3 linked regions of the Callithrix jacchus genome follow. The protein of the gene in region 3 interacts with the protein of the main gene of each other region in a pairwise test. Links are inferred from orthologs where the notes say so. Each region holds a gene or a part of one and is shown on either strand. Other genes may lie near its edges.

Evidence for each region.
Region 1: the proteins of NUTM1 (region 3) and ZMYND10 interact in binary tests that used the Homo sapiens proteins (3 or more experiments, as listed by UniProt). The two-hybrid records come from large-scale screens. The link is inferred for Callithrix jacchus from reciprocal best matches to the Homo sapiens genes NUTM1 and ZMYND10.
Region 2: the proteins of NUTM1 (region 3) and LMO2 interact in binary tests that used the Homo sapiens proteins (3 or more experiments, as listed by UniProt). The two-hybrid records come from large-scale screens. The link is inferred for Callithrix jacchus from reciprocal best matches to the Homo sapiens genes NUTM1 and LMO2.

The regions. Positions count from the first base shown.
Region 1 is NC_133516.1:32,917,183-32,921,268, reverse strand, and holds the start of ZMYND10 (zinc finger MYND domain-containing protein 10), read left to right. Parts: upstream 1-1,222; 5' UTR 1,223-1,356; coding exon 1,357-1,448; intron 1,449-1,704; coding exon 1,705-1,813; intron 1,814-2,731; coding exon 2,732-2,848; intron 2,849-2,964; coding exon 2,965-3,018; intron 3,019-3,137; coding exon 3,138-3,275; intron 3,276-3,383; coding exon 3,384-3,472; intron 3,473-3,571; coding exon 3,572-3,672; intron 3,673-4,025; coding exon 4,026-4,086. UniProt on the Homo sapiens protein: Plays a role in axonemal structure organization and motility. Involved in axonemal pre-assembly of inner and outer dynein arms (IDA and ODA, respectively) for proper axoneme building for cilia motility.
Region 2 is NC_133511.1:99,243,162-99,247,443, reverse strand, and holds the start of LMO2 (rhombotin-2), read left to right. Parts: upstream 1-1,418; 5' UTR 1,419-1,682; coding exon 1,683-1,689; intron 1,690-1,812; coding exon 1,813-2,032; intron 2,033-4,282. UniProt on the Homo sapiens protein: Acts with TAL1/SCL to regulate red blood cell development. Also acts with LDB1 to maintain erythroid precursors in an immature state.
Region 3 is NC_133509.1:54,033,080-54,037,363, reverse strand, and holds the start of NUTM1 (NUT family member 1), read right to left. Parts: upstream 2,804-4,284; 5' UTR 2,486-2,803; coding exon 2,416-2,485; intron 1-2,415. Other genes in the region: NOP10 (H/ACA ribonucleoprotein complex subunit 3), read left to right, coding at 3,037-3,090, 4,118-4,258. UniProt on the Homo sapiens protein: Plays a role in the regulation of proliferation. Regulates TERT expression by modulating SP1 binding to TERT promoter binding sites.

The DNA.
Region 1 (4,086 bases), on a different chromosome or scaffold from region 3:
GAAGCTGAGGTGGAAGAATCACTTGAACCCAGGAGGCAGAGGTTGCAGTGAGTCAAGATCATGCACTCTACCCTAGGTGACAGAGGAGATGCCACCGCAAAAAAAAAAGAAAAAAGATGTGATCAAGAATGAATTGGGTTGGAAGCAGGGACTGCTCTGGATTAAATGGCCAAGAAAGGCCATCCAACGTGTAAACTGAGCCCTGAAGGAAGAGTATTCCAGGCACAGTGCAAAACCCCTGAGGCAAAAACCTCTTTGGAATGTATGAGGGAGATCCAGGGAAGCAAGGGGGAGAAGCGAGTATCCAAGTCCCAAGGTATGAGAGAGGGCAAGAAGTAGATCTTGCAGAAGTGCTAGTAAGCTGTGACAGACCTAGCATTTGGTGCTCCGAAGTAGCTGCAGAGCCTCTCTCATGCCAGAGAGTAATTGTACACGTTTTTTCTTTCTTTCTTTTTTTTTTTTTTGAAACAGTGTCGTTTTGTCCTCCAGGCTGAAGTACAGTGGTGCAATCTCGCCTCACTGCAACCTCTGCCTCCTGGGCTCAAGCAGTTCTCCTACCTCAGCCTCCCGAGTAGCTGGGGCTATAGGTGTGTGCCACCACACCTGGGTAATTTTTGTATTTTTAATAGAGACAGAGTTTCACCATTTTGCCCAGGCTGGTCTCGAACTCCTGACCTCAAGTGATCCGCCTGCCTCAGCCTCCCAAAGTGCTGGGATTACAGGTGTGAGCCACCGCGCCTGGCCTGACATACACTTTTTAAAAAGAGGCTCCCGGCTGTTCATGAGGACCAAGCGTGGAAATAAGTCTAGAGAAAAGGCTGCCACAGTTATCCCATGACAGGTGACGACATTCTGGATGGAGAGAAGTCGTGCGCCCTGGCAGTAAGTATTTCAGGAGCCAACTAGTGGAGCCGGGACGCCATAAGGAGGAGGAGGAGGAGCAGCGAGTGGGTCAACATGCCACAGCCGCAGGAAGAGCTGGTGGGGTCGGGGTTACCCCATCCCTGTGCAGGCCGACTTGGCGTCCCAGGAGAGAGTCCAGGCCACAAGAATCGGGAGAGACTCGTGGGTCACAGCCCGAAAAGCTCTGGGAATCCAGGTACTGTAGCGATTGGCAGCGGCCTAGGTGAGGCCGGCGGTAGACCCGCCCGGATTTAGGCGAGAGCTACCTCCAGGGGCGGGCCCAGGCCGCAATGCGCAGGCGCGGCGAACCCGTTTCCATGACTGCGAGAACCCACGCTCCCCAACCGTCCCGTAACTGTCCGATCCCAGACTTTGGCACCGTCGGGCATCGTCCCCGTGTGTTAGTAACCCCACCCGACTGCTGCCCAGGGTCTGTCGGACCCCGGCCTCGACATGGGAGACCTGGAGCTGCTGCTGCCCGGGGAAGCTGACGTGCTGGTGCGGGGTCTGCGCAGCTTCCCGCTACGCGAGATGGGCTCCGAAGGGTGAGGCACCTGGGTCAGGCGGAGTCATGGGGTCATTGTCCTTGAGTGGGGGAGCTGGGGCCTGATACGGGTGGAGGGGCTGCCCAGTGTGGAGGGGCCTCCAAATGGGGAAGCAGAGCGTTCTGAGACAGGAGTATTATTGCTCCTGAGCCCCCTGTGGCCCCTTAGGATCAGGTTAGGTTTCAGTAGGATCCAGCCCCCATCCTCACTCCTAATGCACACACGTGCACCCACATGCACTTACCCTCGGGGGCAGGTGGAACCAGCAGCACGAGAACCTGGAGAAGCTGAACATGCAAGCCATACTCGATGCCACAGTCAGCCAGGGCGAGCCCATTCAGGAGCTGCTGGTCACCCATGGGAAGGTACCCTGAGGTCACAGGCAGGATTCCTGCCTTCCTCCATACCCACTCTACCCCTCAGGAATGCCCTGTGTGTTTTGCCCTCTGGCCTGGTATACCTGTCCTCCCTGAAGGTGAAAGAGGAATGTGTTACATTATGTATCCCTATGGACAGGACTCTGGCACACCAGGCCAGGTGCAGGGCATGAGTTGAATAAAGAGAAAGTTGCAGGTCCTAGAACAGCTTAGGATTCGAGGGGAAGGCCCAAATCCTAAAGGCATCTGTGAATTGACTGTAAGGCTGCGGGGGAGGGGAGATAACTTAATTGGAAGTGGATCTTTGGCAGGGAAGGAAGCAGCCTTCCTAACATGAGAGAGCAGAGTTAGAAACCAGGGAGATGCCTGGCTGGAACATGGACCAGGGAGTATCACCAGCAGATGACCTGAAATATCAATTCACACACACACAAAAAAAAGAGTTCCTTTGTAAGAGAAAGGTGGAGCTCGTTACTAGGGGATAGGGTAGGAACAGGGCACTGTGAAGGGTCCTGAGTAAGAGTGAGGCCAAGGCACACAAGAGCCTTGGAGGACCAGAGGACAAGGACAAGAGGGAGGGCATGAGCAGAAGGGCTGGCTTGAATGCCTGAATGGAGGGAGAGAGGATAAGGGTACAGGTGCAGGCAGGGCAAGGCAGTCTGGGGACTGGGCAGGAGCCAGTCACAAGCATGGGGGACATCCACAGAGGTGTTGGGAGCAGCTGGAAATGAAGGTCCAAGTTGCAAAAGAGAAGTCAGGAAGGATACTCATGGGGTCTAGGAGAGTCTAGGGGCCCAGCAGTGTTTGAGGAGATCTGGGCTGAGCTGAGCCAGGGATGGGAGGGTTGCCAGGCTAGGCCCATCTTACTCCTGTCCTTTCCCCCTGTCCTTTCCCCCCACTTCAAAGATCCCAACGCTGGTGGAGGAGCTGATTGCAGTGGAGATGTGGAAGCAGAAGGTGTTCCCCGTGCTCTGCAGGGTGGAGGACTTCAAGCCTCAGAACACCTTCCCCATCTACATGGTGGTGAGCTGGCCCCTAGTTCATACTTCCTCCCACTCTTTCAGAGGGCTCTGGACCCGGGAGGAAAGCTGGTGGCCCCTATCCCTCCCTCAGGCCCTGTTCTTCTTTTTGTCTAACAGGTACACCACGAGGCCTCCATCATCAACCTCTTGGAGACAGTGTTCTTCCACAAGGTGAGAGACTATCTCTGCCCATGGGCCACTGTTCCAGGTCAGGGCCTGGCAGGAAAGAAGGTTGCATCTGTGTGAGGAGGGCATCAGACACAGAAAGTTTCCCTCCCCGCTTCACCCAGGAGGTGTGTGAGTCAGCAGAAGACACTGTCTTGGACTTGGTAGACTATTGCCACCGCAAACTGACTCTGCTGGTGGCCCAGAGTGGCTGTGGTGGCCCCCCTGAGAAGGAGGGGTCCCAGGACAACAACCCCATGCAGGTGGGTTGAGGTTCCCTAGGGTTGAGAAGGCCTAGGTCTGGGTTCCCCAAGGCCTGCGCAAGTGAGAGTGGCCCAGTGGCCCAGCATAAACACTGTGTGGCCTCCCAGGAGCTACAGAAGCAGGCAGAGTTGATGGAATTTGAGATTGCTCTGAAGGCCCTCTCAGTACTGCGCTACATCACAGACTGCGTGGACAGGTGGGCAGCCTGACTGGGCCTGGGCCTACCGTGGAAGGCTGGAAGACTGGGCCTGTAGCCTGCCTCTGCTCACCTCCTTCCCAACATTCCTGCCCCTAGCCTCTCCCTCAGTACCTTGAGCCGCATGCTCAGCACACACAACCTGCCCTGCCTCCTGGTGGAACTGCTGGAGCATAGTCCCTGGAGCCGGCGGGAAGGAGGTAGGGTCCTCCCCCACCAGCCTAAGCCCCAGGCTACTGCTTCAGGATATCTTTTTGGTAAAGGGGGATAGCTTGCATATATGAAAACAAACCCTGTCCCCAAGCCCACTGAGGATACCAGGATGCCTCAGCCAAGCTTGTCCTAGACCTGAGCTCTGCAGCAGGCCAGGCCCATGTGTCCACTACCGAGGCTCATCCTGCTCTGGGGTGAGCAGCACTATATAGCCTGCCCAAGTCCTGTGGCCCAGGCTCTCCCACCATTCCCAGGCAATGGTCAGTCTCCCAGGCCCCATGGCTGGCTCACTTGAAGAGAATGCAACGCCTGCACCCAGTGTGCTGGTTCCTCTCCCCAGGCAAGCTGCAGCAGTTCAAGGGCAGCCGTTGGCATACTGTGGCCCCCTCAGAGCAGCAAAA
Region 2 (4,282 bases), on a different chromosome or scaffold from region 3:
CCAAAAAAAAAAAAAAAATAGTCTTTTTGTATACTGAAGACTTTGCTTGGACAAAAATGTGCTCTTAAACTTCCTTTCACACACACACACACACACACACACACACACACAGAGCTTTTAATTATAGCCATTAGAGACCCAAGCCTTGGGACACAGGGGCAAAAAATGACAAGAGCATGCAGGCAGTGGTAAACTCTGGTTATACTTGGACAGGTCCATAAAGCTTTGGCTCTGAACAGGGAAAATGAAGCATGCAGGGATTCACTTCTGACTTCAACTACCACCTTTCAGGGTGAGCTCAGCCAGGCCCGTGGTGCCATCTTTAAAATGGGAACAAAATAAGTATGCCTATGATCCAGACTGATCATATAAAACCATGGATCCTGAAAGTACTTGGCAGTTCCCTCCTTGCAAGCCTTAATGACGGGCATCACACCGAAATAGGCCTGAATGCAGATATTTTCAAGGAACTCTGAGGCCCAGGGGAGCCAAAGTTTTTCTCCATGGAAGGGCAGACTACTAGCCTCCTCTCCTTCCCCTCTGCTTCCTGCCTCTTTCTAGAAGGAGGCTGGATGGGGGGGAAGCCTGAACCCCCAAATCAAATCCCCTTCTTTATGCCTGACCCAGGGCAAAATAATCTCCCAATACTGTTCCTGAACATTGGAAAAGCACTTTCTTTGGTCGGGGTCTCACTCTGTCACCCAGGCACTGGCACTACACATGGGGGCAGTTTAACTGCATTAGTCCGCATTCTGAAAGATGCTGAGGGAGGGGATTCCGCCACGAGTCGACTGAGAGGATCCCTGGCCCCGCGTAGTCCCTCCCCGCCACCCTCCCTCTGGGATTAGCTGCCCTGGCTCTGCTCAGGCGTCCCCAGCAGTCCCGGCCCGCACAGCCCCATCGCCTCTGCAGAGTGCGGCCGCAGCCTGGAGCCCACCGCCCGCAGAGCTGCGCGGTCCGGGACAGCCCGGTGCACCGGGTCCGTGGATCTGGGACCTCGAACCCAGGACGGACGCAAAAGCCACTCGGAACGCTTGCATTTCTGTAGGTGCTTATTTCTCATTCTTGTCTTTTCTTGGTTGATCGAACTGTTCGTGGGTTACTTTCTGCCTCAGTTAAACTAAAAGGGAAAGGCGGAAGAGGGGAAGCTCTGAAGAATGATTTAGTGGCTGCCCAGCCTCCTCTCCAAGGAGAGGTGTTCTCCGAGCGGCTCTCCCCGTTCCCGACACTGGCCCCTTTAAGAAACCAAGTCAGTCCTGATGCTGCTGTTTGTATTGCTAATCCCCAGGAGCCCCGTTAAAAAAAAAAAAAAAAAAAGGAAGAAAAAAGGGGAGGTGGGGGGACCGGGCAGCTGTCTCTTTAAATGTGATTTCCTTCTATTGTATTTGAATCGTGATCAGGAAAAAGGAAATGAAACCAGAGACAGAGGGAAGCTGAGCGAAAATAGACCTTCCCGAGAGAGGAGGAAGCCCGGGGAGAGACGCACGATCCCCTCCCCGCCCCCAGGCCGCCGCCCCCTCTCTGCCCTCTGCGGCGAGCTGCGCGCGGAGACCCGGGCCGAAGGTGCGAGGGGCTCGGGGCGGCCGGGCGGGCGCGCACCATCCCGTGGGCGGCGCGAAGCCGGCGACAGTGCGCGAGAGGGACCGGGCGGCGGCGGCGGCGGCGGCGGCGGCGGGACCGGGATGGAAGGTTAAGTCCTGAGCAGCAGCAGCAGCTGCAGCCTTCCGGGGCCAGGCTGCGCGCCCCGGCCCCCGCCTCGGCCGCCGCGCGCCCGCAGCCCGGTGATTCGCTCTCTCTCTTTGGCGTTTGAAGGGAGCGCGGTGACTGTCCTTGAGCGCGGAGGGGCGAGCTCGCCGCCGGAGCGCCAGAGCAAGCGGAGGCGCAGGAGCGGCGGCGCCCGAGCACCCGAGGGGGTCCGAGCCCCGGCAGCCGGCCAGCCCCGCGCGACAAAGGGAGCGCCCCCACCGCCCGGCACGCCGCCTCCCTCCCCAATGTCCTCGGCCATCGAAAGGAAGAGCCTGGACCCTTCAGAGTAAGTGCAGCGCCCCTGCCCCTGCCACCCCCGGTGTCCATGGCCTCCCGCCCCGGGGCGGCGGGGGGGACCCAGGCGGCCCGCGAGGGGGCTCCAGGTGCGCGCCCCGGCGTGCCCTTGGTCCCCTGTGCCGAACGCGGGACTCCCCCCTTCCTCGTGGGTAACTCCGGGGGCCCTGGGAGAGGGACTGGGAGGCGGGCGGGAGGGCGAGGGGTCGGCCCGGCGCCTCTGTGGGCCCCTCCAGGCTACCGGGACGCTCCCTAAAGCCACCGCGGGCCAGAAAGTTTGCACGGGAGCAGGCGCCAGGGAAGCCCGGAGGCGCGCAGGTGCAGTCGGAAGAGCGTTCGGGCTTCACTGCTCCCTTCTCCCCTCTCGCTCAGTCTCGGCCCTTTCTCTTTGTCCATTTGGTCTTGGAAAGGGGAACATTCCAAGTGGAGGCCTCCGGGGTCCCCAACGGCCGACTTCCCGGTCCGCAGGTGGAGCCGCTGCCAGCAGCGCGGGTACCGGGCGGGTGAGGGGTCTGACCGCCCTTCTCGGAGCTGGCTCTGGGCCTCCAGGGATTTCTAGAGCAGCGAAATCCGGAGTAAATCTGAGTACGCGTACCCCTCCTCGGGGTCCACCGATGGGGCCTGTGAACCTCGAAAGTTAGTGCACCATTTTGCGTGTAGGTTAATTCTTCTGGGGAGCAGAGTCTCAGTTTTTAGCATAGTCTCAAAAGGGTTTGGGGTCAGGTAACCAGGGCTCTAATGAGCATTGGCCGCATCTGTTTTCTGAGCCTCGTACCAGTTTGGAGTATTTCTCTATCCCTAACCCATTCTTTAGTGTTAACATGGGGAGCAGGGGGTGTTTAAGATATCATTTTCCTGTCAACGCAAATGCCATTTTAAGAGTCATTAGCTGTCTGGTTTTGAGAATTTTTATTCCTTTGAAGTCCCCATCTAATCCTTTGAAGGGATTTGTTACACAAGACCAAAGGAGCTGGTTAATGACTTGTCCATTTGTGCTTTTAAGAGACATTTGTTTTGTTTTGTCTTTTCCTGCTTTAAAAGAATTGTGCTTTCCTGCTTGAAATACCGCACGCACACACACATACACACGCACGCACACACATACACCCCCTTCAATTTCGGCTATGGTGTTTATTTACCTGGGTTTTACCCTCCGTTACCAGCATAAAAGCTCAGCATGTTCTCATAAAACGCAGGAAGTACCACCATCCAATGAGAATATAAACATCACTATTCAGTCTTGAAGGTTAATACACCAGTTCTATAATGAGCTAGGTTTGTTGTAGCAAAAACCCCCACTTCCTTCAACAAATTCTCAGAAGAAAAATAACATTCCTTTTTAAAAGTATGTTTATGCAAACAATGGGTTTAAAGGGTGGTTTGATCACGTTTTTAAATAAACTTAACAATTACAACCGAGCTCTGAGTTTCAGAGACTGGGCAAGATCACACAATAAGGAAGTGACTTGGATGAATTGGTGCCTAATGCCTTTTTGATCAGTAGAATTTTGTCACTAATCCTTTCAATAGAAGATAAATCTGAAGGTTTCAGTTCCCTGAAGGAAGTTTGCTTCTTTCAAAGTTTGTGCTTTCTCACTGAGGATATAAAACTGAAACATCCTAACTTCCTAACAGGCAGGTATCGACTGCTGGAGGCTCACCAGCTCTTTCCTTCACTTCACTATTTGCCCAATGAAGACAGGTTCTAATCAAAAAGGCACAAGCTGGTTGAGAAATTGCTGCAGTGCATTCTCCCCACCCCCTTAGAAATTGTTATGAAATTATCCCAGAAATCCGGGCTGAAGTGATATTCAGGTATAATATTCAAGATAGGCTCTGGGAGAATATAAAATATTAATTTGAGGGTGAATCAATCTCATTCAGTCATTGTCTTGGATTGTCCACTAAGTATAATGTGATATTATCATTAATTAATTATAGAAAGACAGAGCCAATATCTTACACTTTACTTCTCCATCTCATCTCAGGCCGTCACCATAACTCATTTACTTTACGTTCCTCCTGTGGTCCAGTATCCTACTAGATTCTTCATTGTGTACTTCCTCAAAGCCAACTTGGGTTATTACAGTCAGCATCTCCAAATTACAGATGGAGACTTGCCTAGCTATATGCAAATGAAACATTTGGACAGAAAGCCAGCCAGAATTCATGAACACAGAGATTCCCTTGCTATGCCATTGCTGGCCCCCGCTGCCTCCCGTGAGTACCAAGAGCAGTTCAT
Region 3 (4,284 bases):
GGAAAAGTGGGATGGCTGTTGGAGATATTCCATGAGGTTTCTAGTAAGTATGCAAAAACCAGGAATCCCCTTCAAACTACAGTTTGGCAACACAATTGATGTTCACCTCTTTAGGGCTATTTGTAAATTCTTTCCCAGATTCCCAAATATTACAGTTTTACCATTTGGTTCCCTATACTTCAATTCTTCACCAACATATCTCATTTCCTGTCCTTCAATACCAACCAGTTCTATAACTGACTTCCTATTAACAGCAAGTTGATGGTTGATCCCTGACTTAATTTAACGATGGCTATATTTTCTGAACTAAATTCAGAGTACATTCTTCTGTATACTTAAGGATCAAGGGAACTAAAGTTTAAAACTAGAATTGTCACCGGGCACAGTGGCTCACACCTGTAATCCCAGCACTTTGGGAGGCCGAGGCAGGCAGATCAGGAGGTCAGGAGTTTGAGAACAGCATGGTGAAACCCCGTCTCTACTAAAAATGTTTTAAAAAGTTAGCCGGGCATGGTGGCATACGCTTGTAGTCCCAGCTACTCTGGAGGCTGAGGCAGGAGAACTGCTTGAACCTGGCAGGTGGAGGTTGCAGTGAGCCGTGATCACGCCACTGCACTCCAGCCTCTGTGACAGAGCAAAACTCCATCTCAAAAAATAAAAAATAAAAAATAGAATTGTCAGATGATCCAAGGTGCTCAATTGCTGTGTGCACATCATTTCCTTGGAAAGCTGTCCAGTCTATTACCATAGGCTCTGTACTCCACAGAAGCTTTATCCTTTGCTGAAAAGCCTCACTAAATAAAAAAAAAGCTGCCATGCAGTTTAAAATTTCAAGAGCAGAAAGTTCTTTTTGTTAATTATTTTGATTTAAATTTTAAAAATATAATTTCTCTGCTTAGGTTCCTGTTGACTATTTCAGGCCAGTAACTCCCAGACTGTCCTCTATAGCCGCAGATTCATTCAAACTTGGACTTCCTTCCCTGGGGTTCACCGCATCTTTCTTGCTTCCTCTGAGATATTTTTTTTTTTTTTTTTGAGACAGAATCTCGCTCTTTTACCTAGGCTGGAGAACAGTGGTGCCATCTTGGCTCACTGCAACCTCCACCTACTAGGTTCGATGGATTCTTCTGCCTCAGCCTCCCAAGTAGCTGGGATTACAGGTGTGAGCCACCACGCCCAGCTTATTTTTTATTTATTTATTTATTTTTTTTTTGAGACGGAGTTTCGCTCTTGTTACCCAGGCTGGAGTGCAATGGCGCGATCTCGGCTCACCGCAACCTCCGCCTCCTGGGTTCAGGCAATTCTCCTGCCTCAGCCTCCTGAGTAGCTGGGATTACAGGCACGCGCCACCATGCCCAGCTAATTTTTTTTTTGTATTTTTAGTAGAGGCAGGGTTTCACCATGTTGACCAGTATGGTCTCGATCTGTTGACCTCGTGATCCACCTGCCTCGGCCTCCCAAAGTCCTGGGATTACAGGCTTGAGCCACCGCACCCGGCCCAATTTTTTATTTTTAGTAGAGACAAGGTTTCACTACATTGGCCAGGTTGGTCTCAAACTGCTGACCTCGTGACTGCCAGCCTCAGCCTCCCAAAGTGCTGGGATTACAGGAGTGAGCCACCATGCCGCGCCTTGTTTTCTAAAGACTCTTTTATTAATAAGACCTGAAGGCTGAAATCATCCTTTTTCTTTCTAACAAAAGTACTTGGATTTTTTTAAACTTTTAATAGGTAATACATTAGCAAGGTTCAAAAATCAAACTGCAAAATAAAATACATAGGAATAAGTCTGCCTCCCACCCCTTTCCCCTGTAACTAGTATCATCTGTTTCTTGTGAATACTTGCAGAGATATTTTATGCGACTACAAGTAAATACAAACCATATTCTTTTTTTTTTTTTCTCAGAGATGTAGTCTCGCTCTGTCGCCCAGGCTGGAGTGCAGTGGCACGATCTCAGCTCACTGCAACCTCCGCCTCCTGGGCTCAAGCTGTTCTCCTGCCTCAGCCTCCTGAGCTGGGATTACAGGAACGTGCCACTACATCCGGCTGATTTTTGTATTTTTAGTAGAGGTGGGGTTTCGCCATGTTGGTCAGGCTGGTCTCGAACTCCTGACCTCGTGATCCGCCTGCCTCAGCCTCCCAAAGTGCTGGGATTGCAGGCATGAACCACCGCGCACGGCCAAACCATATTCTTAAAAAAAATAATAAATTGCAGGTTTTTCTGGTTACACAATTAATATATATTCCAATGCTCTTGTCATTTTAAATAATGCCGTAATGATCATCTTTATAATGATACTTTGGTTATCATTTTCATTTATTTAAACGAGTCCTGTAAGGAGAATTTCTATATTCTTTTAAAAATTATAAAAACTCCTAGAAGGTGCACTTTGTTACGCTATTATTAGCTACTCACCACTATAAGAAAGAGTGCTGAATTTGCAGTAGAGACCTGAGTTTGAATCTCGGTTTGACCGCTGAAACATACTTCACCAGTTTCATAAGATAACTTTACGCTATTTTCGCTTTACGGAATATTGATACTCGTCATGCATTCTTTACCGCCAACGCTTTGAAATGGAGCAGGGGAACTGGATGTAAAAGAGGGGAGGGAAGAAAACCTCTTCTTTCTTCCCTGGGATAAAGGGGCTCTGAATCCTGGAGCCCTTGTTTCTTCAAGCACTAGAAACTCACTGCTCCTGAAATGGGCGTGTATCTTGAGATAATGACAGGACTCCATACATCATTGTTCTATCCACATCCATCCCTATCCCCCCTCTAAAGCTGTGTACCTAGCACACAGTGGGCATACTCCACGTGTTTTAGCCTGCAAAGTTGCAAGTGAGGCCCCAAGCCAAGCCCTGCTCTCGTGCGCCCTCTTCTGTCTAGCTGAAAATAAGGCAAAAATTGAGTACATTTTCCGGCGTGCCTGGAGAGACTGACTTCCGGCCCTGCAGGAAGGAAATTGACGAACACGTGACGCGACCGGGCAGTCGGAGCTGCGTACCGAATTGGAACCTCTGGCTCAAGAGTGGTCATGTTTCTCCAGTATTACCTCAACGAGGAGGGAGATCGGGTCTATACGCTGAAGGTGAGGAGAGAAAGTAGGTTGTAAATAGGCATAGCGAAAAATGTAGATGGGAGGAGTGGGTGAGGCCATCCACCGAGTTACCTAGCTGGGTGCGGAGAACCAGAAAGACCAGAACCGAGGTGAGGAAGAACCGGGAGTGCGCGACTAATTTTTTTTATTAAAAAAAAAAATGTGGTCGGGCGTGGTGGTTCACTCCTGTACTCTTTGCACTTGGGGAGGCCGAGGCGGATGAATTGCTTGAGCTCTGGAGTTCAAGACCACCTCGGCAACACGATGAAACTCAGTCTCTACTAAAATACAAAAAATAGCCTGGCGTGGCGCCGTCCGCTTGTAATCTCAGCCACTCGGGAGGCTGAGACAGGAGAATCGCTTGAACCCGGGAGGCGGAGGTTGCAGAGAGCTGAGATAGTGCTGTTGCACTCCAGCCTGAGCGACAAAGCGAGACTCCGTCTCAAAAAAAAATGTATATATAATATATATATTTTTTATAAAATTTTTTTAAAATCGTAGTTATCTCTAGGCGCGTTAGAGTCACTTTTTCTTTTTCTTTTTTTTTTTTTTTTTTGAGACAGACTTGCTTTGTTCCTAGGCTGTAGTGCAATGGCGCCATCTAAGCTCACTGGAGCCAATCTTGGGCCAAACGCTCCTCCTGCCTCAGCCTCCCGAGTAGCTGAGACTACAGGCGTGTGCCACCATGCCTGGCTAATTTTTGATTTGGGGTTTTTTTTTGTTTTTTGGTTTGGTTGGTTTTGTGTGTTTGTTTTTTGTAGAGACGTGGTTTGCCATATTGCCCAGGCTGGTCTCGAACTTCTGACTTCAAGCGATCCTTCCGCCGCTTGCCAAAGTATTGGGATTACAGGCGTGAGCCACCGCACCCGACCTTTTTACATTTTATTTTTATTTACTTATTTGTACAACTATTTGAGCTGACCATTGCATCTAATGTTTTCATGTTTGCTCTTTTTCACACTGTTCCACCCCATTTCACCACTCCTGAACTGACATACGTTCTCTCTTCCGCGAGCAGAAATTTGACCCAATGGGACAACAGACCTGTTCAGCCCATCCTGCTCGGTTCTCCCCAGATGACAAATACTCACGACACCGAATCACCATCAAGAAACGCTTTAAGGTGCTCATGACCCAGCAACCGCGCCCTGTCCTCTGAAAGTCCGTTAAACTGATATGTCTTCT